Lonchura striata: one gene and its partner. The protein of the gene in region 1 purifies or fractionates together with the protein of each later gene. This does not show direct contact. Links are inferred from orthologs where the notes say so. Each region holds a gene or a part of one and is shown on either strand. Other genes may lie near its edges.

What was found.
Region 2: the proteins of RBSN (region 1) and VPS45 purify together in Homo sapiens (affinity purification with mass spectrometry; 4 studies listed by BioGRID and IntAct, counting the BioPlex papers as one, with this or other methods). This does not show direct contact. The link is inferred for Lonchura striata from reciprocal best matches to the Homo sapiens genes RBSN and VPS45.

What each region holds. Positions count from the first base shown.
Region 1 is NC_134614.1:24,100,669-24,104,574, forward strand, and holds the start of RBSN (rabenosyn-5), read left to right. Parts: upstream 1-1,187; 5' UTR 1,188-1,286; intron 1,287-1,622; 5' UTR 1,623-1,688; coding exon 1,689-1,851; intron 1,852-3,108; coding exon 3,109-3,249; intron 3,250-3,906. UniProt on the Homo sapiens protein: Rab4/Rab5 effector protein acting in early endocytic membrane fusion and membrane trafficking of recycling endosomes. Required for endosome fusion either homotypically or with clathrin coated vesicles.
Region 2 is NC_134635.1:2,747,720-2,751,625, forward strand, and holds the start of VPS45 (vacuolar protein sorting-associated protein 45), read left to right. Parts: upstream 1-1,133; 5' UTR 1,134-1,304; coding exon 1,305-1,397; intron 1,398-1,489; coding exon 1,490-1,624; intron 1,625-1,925; coding exon 1,926-1,986; intron 1,987-2,486; coding exon 2,487-2,566; intron 2,567-3,136; coding exon 3,137-3,205; intron 3,206-3,452; coding exon 3,453-3,590; intron 3,591-3,906. UniProt on the Homo sapiens protein: May play a role in vesicle-mediated protein trafficking from the Golgi stack through the trans-Golgi network.

The DNA of each region.
Region 1 (3,906 bases):
TTGCGCCATCTAGTGACTGCCACGTCTCCCATCCTTCACCCACCCCCTTTTCTGCCCGTTCCCTACACGCTCATGACAAATCGCGCGCATGTAACAGGAACCAGAAAACTGAAACACCAACAGAAACCTCCCTAAGAGCTCTGCGCCTACATGGCTCTTGCAGTTCTTCTAGAGACGTGTATCGCTGTAGCGTTCTTCCACTACTCAGTGAGTTACAGCTCACTGGCCTCAATTGAGGACAAAAGGAGCAAGGAACAACAAAGGCAGCTGGTGCCACTGTGTGGCACAGGTATGGCTCACCGCCAGGAAACTACCCGGCTCCAGCAAATCCAGGGGGATGACACCACAGCACGTGAATCATCGAAGACACTGAGCCTCAGGCTGCTTCTTTTCTTCCTCACCCCATCACGATCCGTGCTGAAAAGGTTTTAAAGGTCATAATATGGAAGGTAGAAGTGCAGGGCATGATGAGTCAAAGTCCACCTTTAATGGACAGGTCTCAAGTGTAAATAGCATCGCCACGTAAGAAAATCTCTGCCTCCAAGAGCTTTAATCCTAACACACGAAGCCGATGTGTGATTACACACTCCTATTGTTTCTATTTGATTGGGAGTGTGTGAGAGAAGGGACTGCTGCCAGCTCAGACTAAACAAAAGCTGGCATCAGAAAGGGGACACGAAAAATGCCCTGCCGTTGATTTACATAGCTCCTTGTCAGGAGGCAAGTAGTAGGATTCCTGGGCTTCTTTGTGGCTAAGTACGTCACCGGATGCTCTAGTTTGCAGTTTTGGGACACTTCCTTTAGGAACGTTCAGTAGGCTGGGAAAGGGAACGTTGAGCGTGTTGACATTGGCAACGGTGCTCCTCTTGAACGTGCCCAGCGATTAGGACACACAGCATAGACCCACCAGTGCTATGGGAACGGCCCCAGGGCACCGGGGAGGGACGCATGTCCCCTACGTGACAGCGCCGTCCCGTCCTGGAGGGGACTCTGTCACCGCAGCTCTGCGGGCTCGTTACCCCGGGCTACTGCGAGGCGGCTGGACACGGCGACCAGCGCCGGCCGCAGAGACGCCGCTGCCGCTGCCGCCTCCCAACCGCCAGCGGCAGCGCTGCGCTCGGCAGCCTCCCCGCGGCGTCGGACGAGCCCTCCTTCTCCCCGCCCTTTCCTCCCATCCATGGCTCATCCCTCGCCCCGCCCTCCGCCGCGCTCTGCCGCTCCCGGCAGCCGGGCCGGGCCGCGGCCGCCCTGTTTTGGAGATAGTCACCGGCCGCCCGGGCGCTGAGGTGAGGCGAGCCCTGCCCCAGGCTTTTCCCGGGCCGTCCCTGGGCTGCCGCTGGGCCACGGACCCTGAGGCAGCCGGGGCAGCCCTCAGCGGCCTCTCCCCAGGCGGGCGGATCGCCTCAAGCCCCGCTCATCTCCCTGCGCAGCCTCTCTCCTGCCCCGGGCGGGGCGGGGCCGGGCCGCGGAGGGACCGGGCGGGGAGGAACCGGGCGGGAAGCCCCTGGAGGAACCGGGCGGGGGCCCGGCGGGAAGCCCCTGGAGGGGCTCGCGCCCAGCCCGGGCCCTTCCCGCCGCATCCTGCGCCGCGGGTCACACGGCCCTGGCCTGGTTCGTTTCAGGGAGTGCCTAAGGACGATGCGGCCCCCGCATCCCTGCAGTCGGTGAGGGCAGCAGGCGAGGCCGCGATGGCGTCGGGCTGCCCGGCGGCCTTCGGGGACCCGACCGAAGTGCGCGAGGGCTTCCTGTGCCCGCTGTGCCTGAAGGATCTCCAGGCGTTCCGGCAGCTCCAGGCGCACTACGAGGAGCAGCACCCGGGCGAAGACCGGGACGTCAGGGCGCAACTCCGAAGTAAGGGCGGCCGCGGTAAATGCGTTCGGCTTGGCCGTGGGAAATCCCTGCTCGTACTTCGAGTGCTCCCAAATGTCTGACAATAATAAAATATCAATTGGAGGGACTTACAGGCGAGGTATGCAGTTCCATTCTTCCGTAAATCTCCTTGGGCCAAGCATAGTACTAACCTTCTCCCGATACTTCCCATAAATTATTCTAAAGTAGGCGCTAAAGAACATTGCTCTACAAATGTCTGCTTTTATGCACGAGTTTTACTGTTGATCTTTTAGGCTTTTTTGTTTGTTTTTACTTGAAAACTCAAAATTATACTAACCCAGTGAATACCCAAGATTTACTTGAAGACTGTGGAGAATATGGGGAATCTCTGGTACTTACCAGGTTCCAGTTCATTAATCTCTTGTTTTGACAGTAGATAAAGCTGTGGTTGCAGTTAAAGTGTGAAGTTAAGAAAGGTTGTTATTGGAAAAACATGGAAAAGCATGTGGGTGGTGGAACTAGCAGGAAGTGCTGGGAGTGTTCCATATCTGTTAGGGAGTTCCACCCTTCATTAGTATTTGGAAAATCTCTTTGAATTTTGTTTCACTAAGATATTTCCCTTTTTTTACCCCCCTTATGTATACAATGTCATTTTATATTGAGAGAAGAATGTTTAAAATGTTTAAAATCTGGCGATAATTCTCTATGTTTCCTGCAAACTCTGGTTTTAGTATGCTAGAAGTACTGGCCTCGCAGTCTTGATTTGTTTTTCTCTTGAGATAGACTTTTGAAGTACTAACCAATTTTCGTGGTGAAACCCTAACACTGGGCTGTTTAGTACTTGAAAAAGTCTTTATGTGTACAAGCACACTGAAATTGGTAGCTTGTGCAATAAAACAAGGAATGTGTTGGACGTCCTTGAATCTGAAGAAAATAATAGGGAATTTTGAGAATTAAGATAAAACTATATGATGCTTTGTGCAGTGAGATAGGTCCCATAGTTTAAGACATGTTGCTGTTTTACAGTGAAGTCTGACAATGGAATGTTTTAATCTACTGTCTTGTCCTTAGGACCTCATGCTGCTTTATGACAGACAGCAGAGAGCATTTTGTGTCATCTGTGTTGCTCTGAACTGCATTTTTGTTCTAAGAATGTTTTGAGGATAAATTTATCCAGAAGAAAGGTTTCTGCTAAAAGAAGATGAATATACTGGCTTCACATGACAAATATTTGGTGACTACCTGATATGTCAGATAACTTGGGTTTATTTTTTTCAGATCTAGTCCAGAAGGCCAAAAGAGCAAAGAAGAAATTGCTGAAACAAGATGATGACAGAACTGATTCTGGATCTCAGGAACGATATGAGTCATTCAGCTATGGTGGAGTAGATCCATACATGTGGGAGCCCCAGGAAGTAGGTAGGAGAACTGGAAAGCAATACACAGTGGGAATAAGTTTTGATCTGAATTGGGAAAGTGCTACAGTATTGCCTAAGTGGCTTGGAATTGTGTCTGTGTTCGCTAGCAGGGGGTTATGGTTTGCACACTTTCTTTGAGCAGCCGATCCCTTGGGTGGAGTGTGGGGAAAACACAGTTAATGGGGAGAAGAAAAGACATGTATAGAGTCGTTACCCGAACTACCCTTCAGGGAGCTGTTAATCATGTTATTGTTGCTGTCCTGCTGAGATCTGCTTAATCTGTGTTTACCTCTGTGCAACTAGCTTCATCTTGTCACTTTACAAAAAAGATAATCCACTCATTAAAAGTTATAAGTATATAAAATCTCTAGCTTTTGGGCTACACTTAAAGTAGTTGTTAGTTTGCATGTTTGACAAAAACATTATCTAACAATTTAAACTGTCAGCTTTTTCCTTGGATTTGAGGTGGCAATCACCTCTTATTAAAATGGGGTTTACTTAAAAAAAAAACAGATTAAAAAAACAAACAATAAACAAACTCCACTGCTCTGAATATAAATCTACATTTGTAGAGTTTCAAGGATAAGCTGTAAAGGATGAGCCTGTAATTACAAATACTGCTATTGGCAATTGCCTGTACTATGACTGAAATACTATG
Region 2 (3,906 bases), on another chromosome or scaffold:
CATGAAGAGGTTTGTCTTCCCTAAGGACAAGGACAAAGATGGATTTAAAGAGGAGATGATGCCCTGGGTTTGCTTAGTTCACAAATAAAACCCAAAAGCATTTCCAAGGAAACTGGACAATAACTAAACCAGCACTTTTCAGACACTGAATCATTTAACAATAAGGCTAGAAATCAATCAGCTGCAATTAAATCCCAATTTTTGATACCATTTGCTGTTACTGTGTGTATCCTTTGGCCAGGAGCATCCACACGCTCCTTAAGGCATCAGTTTGGATATGAGAAACAAAATCAGGCAAGAAATAACAAAAAATGTAAGAAAGAAAATACTGGAGTTGTATTTTTCTAGGTAAATCCCTGTTTAAACCACTGAAATCTTTGGAGTTTGTACATGTGCAAAACTCCCCAGCCTCCAGAAAGAAGACCCAAAGCGTTTGGAAGTGAAAAGCAAAATCTTGGCAGGAAATGGAAGGATTAAAGACGACAAAGGTGTCCGTCACTCTGAGAGGAAGTGGGGAGCCGCTTAATTGGAAGTGAAAGGCAGGACATGCTCATTAATTAATTGTTATCCCCCGCTATAAATAGGGCTTTGGCAGCGGGGGAGTGCCTGGCCGTGGGTCAGCTCTGTCCTGCCGGGAATAGCACCTAATCCCAGCGTCCTGCTCCCGGGATTAGCGGGGCAGGAACGGTCCTGGAGCAGCAGCCTTGTCCATCCCGGGTTTCCAGGAGCAGCTCAGGGAAACCGAGTCACGTCCTTCGTCCTTGGGGACCCCAGGGGGACCCTCGGGTGTGCCCAGCTCCCTCGTGTGTGGGAGCTTGGGGTGGGTCTACGAGATTTGGGGTTGTTTGGGGTGGTTTGGGTAGACCTGGAGGGGGTTTGTGTGTGTTTAGGATGGGCTTAGGTTCGTTTTAGGGTGCATTTAGCGCGGGTTGGAACGGGTTCGTGTTGTTTTACGGTAGGTTTGGGTGGGTTTAACTGCGGGGCGAGTCCGGCTGGGTTCAGGCTCAGTGCTCCGCCCTCGGGTCCCTCGGGAGGGGAAGGACGGGCCGGGGCTGCGGAGCCCCGGGGCCGCGGCGGGCGGGGCCGCTCCCGCGGCCGGACTACAGCTCCCGGCAGGCAGCGGGGCCGGACGGGGCGCGGCCGAAGCGGGGCCGAAGGCGGCCGAAGCGGGGCCGAAGGCGGCCGAAGCGGGGCCGAAGGGGGCCGAAGCCGGACCAGAGCCGGGCCGAAGCGGGGCCGAAGCCGGACCAGAGCCGGGCCGAAGCGGGTCAGGGGCAGGCCGGTAGCGCAGCATCCCCGCCAGGATGAACGCGGTGCTGGCGGTCCGGCAGTACGTGTCCAAGATGATCGAGGACAGCGGCCCCGGCATGAAGGTGCTGCTGATGGACCGGGAGACGGTGAGCGGCGGGGCCGGGAGCGGGGCCGGGAGCGGGGCCGGGAGCGGGGCCGGGGCCGGGCCGTGACGGGCGCTGTCCCCTGCCGCCCTCAGACCGGCGCCGTGAGCGTGGTGTACACCCAGTCCGAGATCCTGCAGCGCGAGGTTTATCTCTTCGAGCGCCTCGACTCACCCAACAGGGAGCCCATGAAGCACCTCAAGGCCATCTGCTTCCTGCGGCCCACCAAGGTACGGGGCAGAGCGGGAGGAAGCGGCCTTAAATGGTGCTGGGGAGGTTTAGGTTGGATATTTGGGAAAATTCGGCCATGCAAAGGGTTGTTCAGCCTTGGCACAGGGCAGTGGTGGAGCCACAGTCCCGGGAATTGTTCAAATCCATGTGGATGTGGCTGCTGGGGACAGGGGTCCCTGGTGGCCTTGGCAGTGCTGGGGGAATGGCTGGACACCAAGATCTCAGAGGCTTTTCCAACCCTAAGGATTCCATGGTTCTGTATTCCTTAACTCTGCTCTTCCTGGTGCTGTTTCCATCCAGGAGAACGTGGAGCTCCTGGTGCAGGAGCTGCGAAGGCCCAAGTACAGCATCTACTTCATCTGTGAGTATGCAGAGTCCAGGGGTCCTGGAGCTCCATCAACCTGGAACAGGCTCCTCATCCCAGTGTGGATGGGACGGGCTCCACACCTCAGCAAAGATCACACGGCACCTTCCTGTGCCAAGCGTACCAGGCAGGGGCTTCCCACATGTCCTGCTCAGGGAATGTTCCATGAGTTTGGGAATGAGGCAGAATGACTCCAGCTGGTTTGGGGTGGAAGTCCAGTCCTGCAGGCCAGGAATTAATCAGAAGGATGTCAGGAACTGGGTGAAGTGGCCTCTAGATGTCATCGTGGCTCTGCAGGACGCAGCGGGACCAGGCGCTGGGGAGATGGACAGGGAATGAGTTGGGAGCATCCCTGGGAGGTGGCTCGGGATTCCAGCACCGGCAGGTGCAGGGTTAGAGGGTCCCTGTGGGATCTGCTCCTGCTCCAGAGGGGATCAGACTGCCCATCCCACAGGGTCTGCATGGAGCCCCACTGTCCCGTCCCTGTTTTCTCCCAGATTTCAGCAACGTCATCAGCAAGAGCGATGTGAAGGCCTTGGCCGAGGCCGATGAGCAGGAGGTCGTGGCTGAAGTCCAGGTGAAGTTTGGATGTTTTTAGATAGATCCAAAAACAAAGGGAAGGTCCAGGCTGCCAGACACTGGGAGCAGGAGGGCTGTTGTTCCCAACTGGTGCATGCCAGGCCTGGGTGAGAGGAGGGATGGACACAAATGTGGGATGAAGAGGTAAAAGGTAGAAAAGGTCTCATTTCTCTGTGCCCTGTGCTCTCACAGCTGCTGCTGGTTTTGGTGTCTCACAAGGTGCTGCCTAGCTCAAATCCATGGGGATGTGGCACTTGGCAGCAGGGGGTTAGAGGTGGCCTTGGCAGTGCTGGAGGGACAGTTGGACTCAGTGGTCTTAAAGGGCTTTTCCAAAGCCAGTAATTCCACGATTCCTCATTTTTGGTGCTGATGAAGAGCTGGGCACCAGAGCAATGCACAGTACCAATGGGAGTTCTCAGCGGGGTTGGAGGGGTTTGGGGTGGAGGAAGGAAGGATGTTCTGAACCAGTGTGTCCCGGTGGTGGAGGGGGCTGTGTGGTCAGTGGTGGCCCATGGCTGTGCCTGGGGTCAGGGTCAGAGACACAGGGCTGTCCTGCTGCCTTCCCCAGGAGTTCTATGGCGACTACATTGCGGTGAACCCACACGTCTTCTCCCTGAACCTCCTGGGCTGCTGCCGGGTAGGAACACGGCGAGTTGTCCTTGCACTGGGTAACGTGTAGCCCTCACAACCCGGGGCATTGGGGGGCTGCTGGAGGGGAATGGGCCGTGGCAAGGAGAGGAGCAGCAGGGAGTTTGTGTTCAGCCCCTGGGTATCTGCTGCTTCAGGGAAGCTGTGCTTTCCTGTGAGACTTCAGGGCTTAGAAACAAGGACGTGGGAAAGTTTGGGACCAGTGCATCCATGTGAGGTGCAGCCTTTCCTTCCAGGGCCGCAGCTGGGACCCGGCTCAGCTCACCAGGACAACCCAAGGGCTCACTGCTCTGCTCCTGTCCCTGAAGAAGTGCCCCATGATCCGGTACCAGCTCTCCTCAGAGCCAGCGAAGCGCTTGGCCGAGTGTGTGAAGGTGAGAGCAACCCACAGCACATCCCTTTAGGATGAATTCAGTCTTGGTTAGTTTTTTACATGTGGAGGGAAACACCTGTTTTCAGTCAATTCCTGTAAATTCCATCATTTACTTGGAAGCCCAGCACTAGGCAGGTCATGTCCTGCTCCGCTCCCAGTACAGCATTCCTGGGAGCAGTGTCCCAGTTCCCTGGGGCCTTCAGCTCCTCCCTGGCAGTGCAGACAAAGCAGCACAGTTGGGGTTTCAGCCTCCCTTCCCTCTGTGCCTGAGTCCACGCTGAGAGGGAGCCTTTTCCAGGCGTTCCACGTGGGATTTT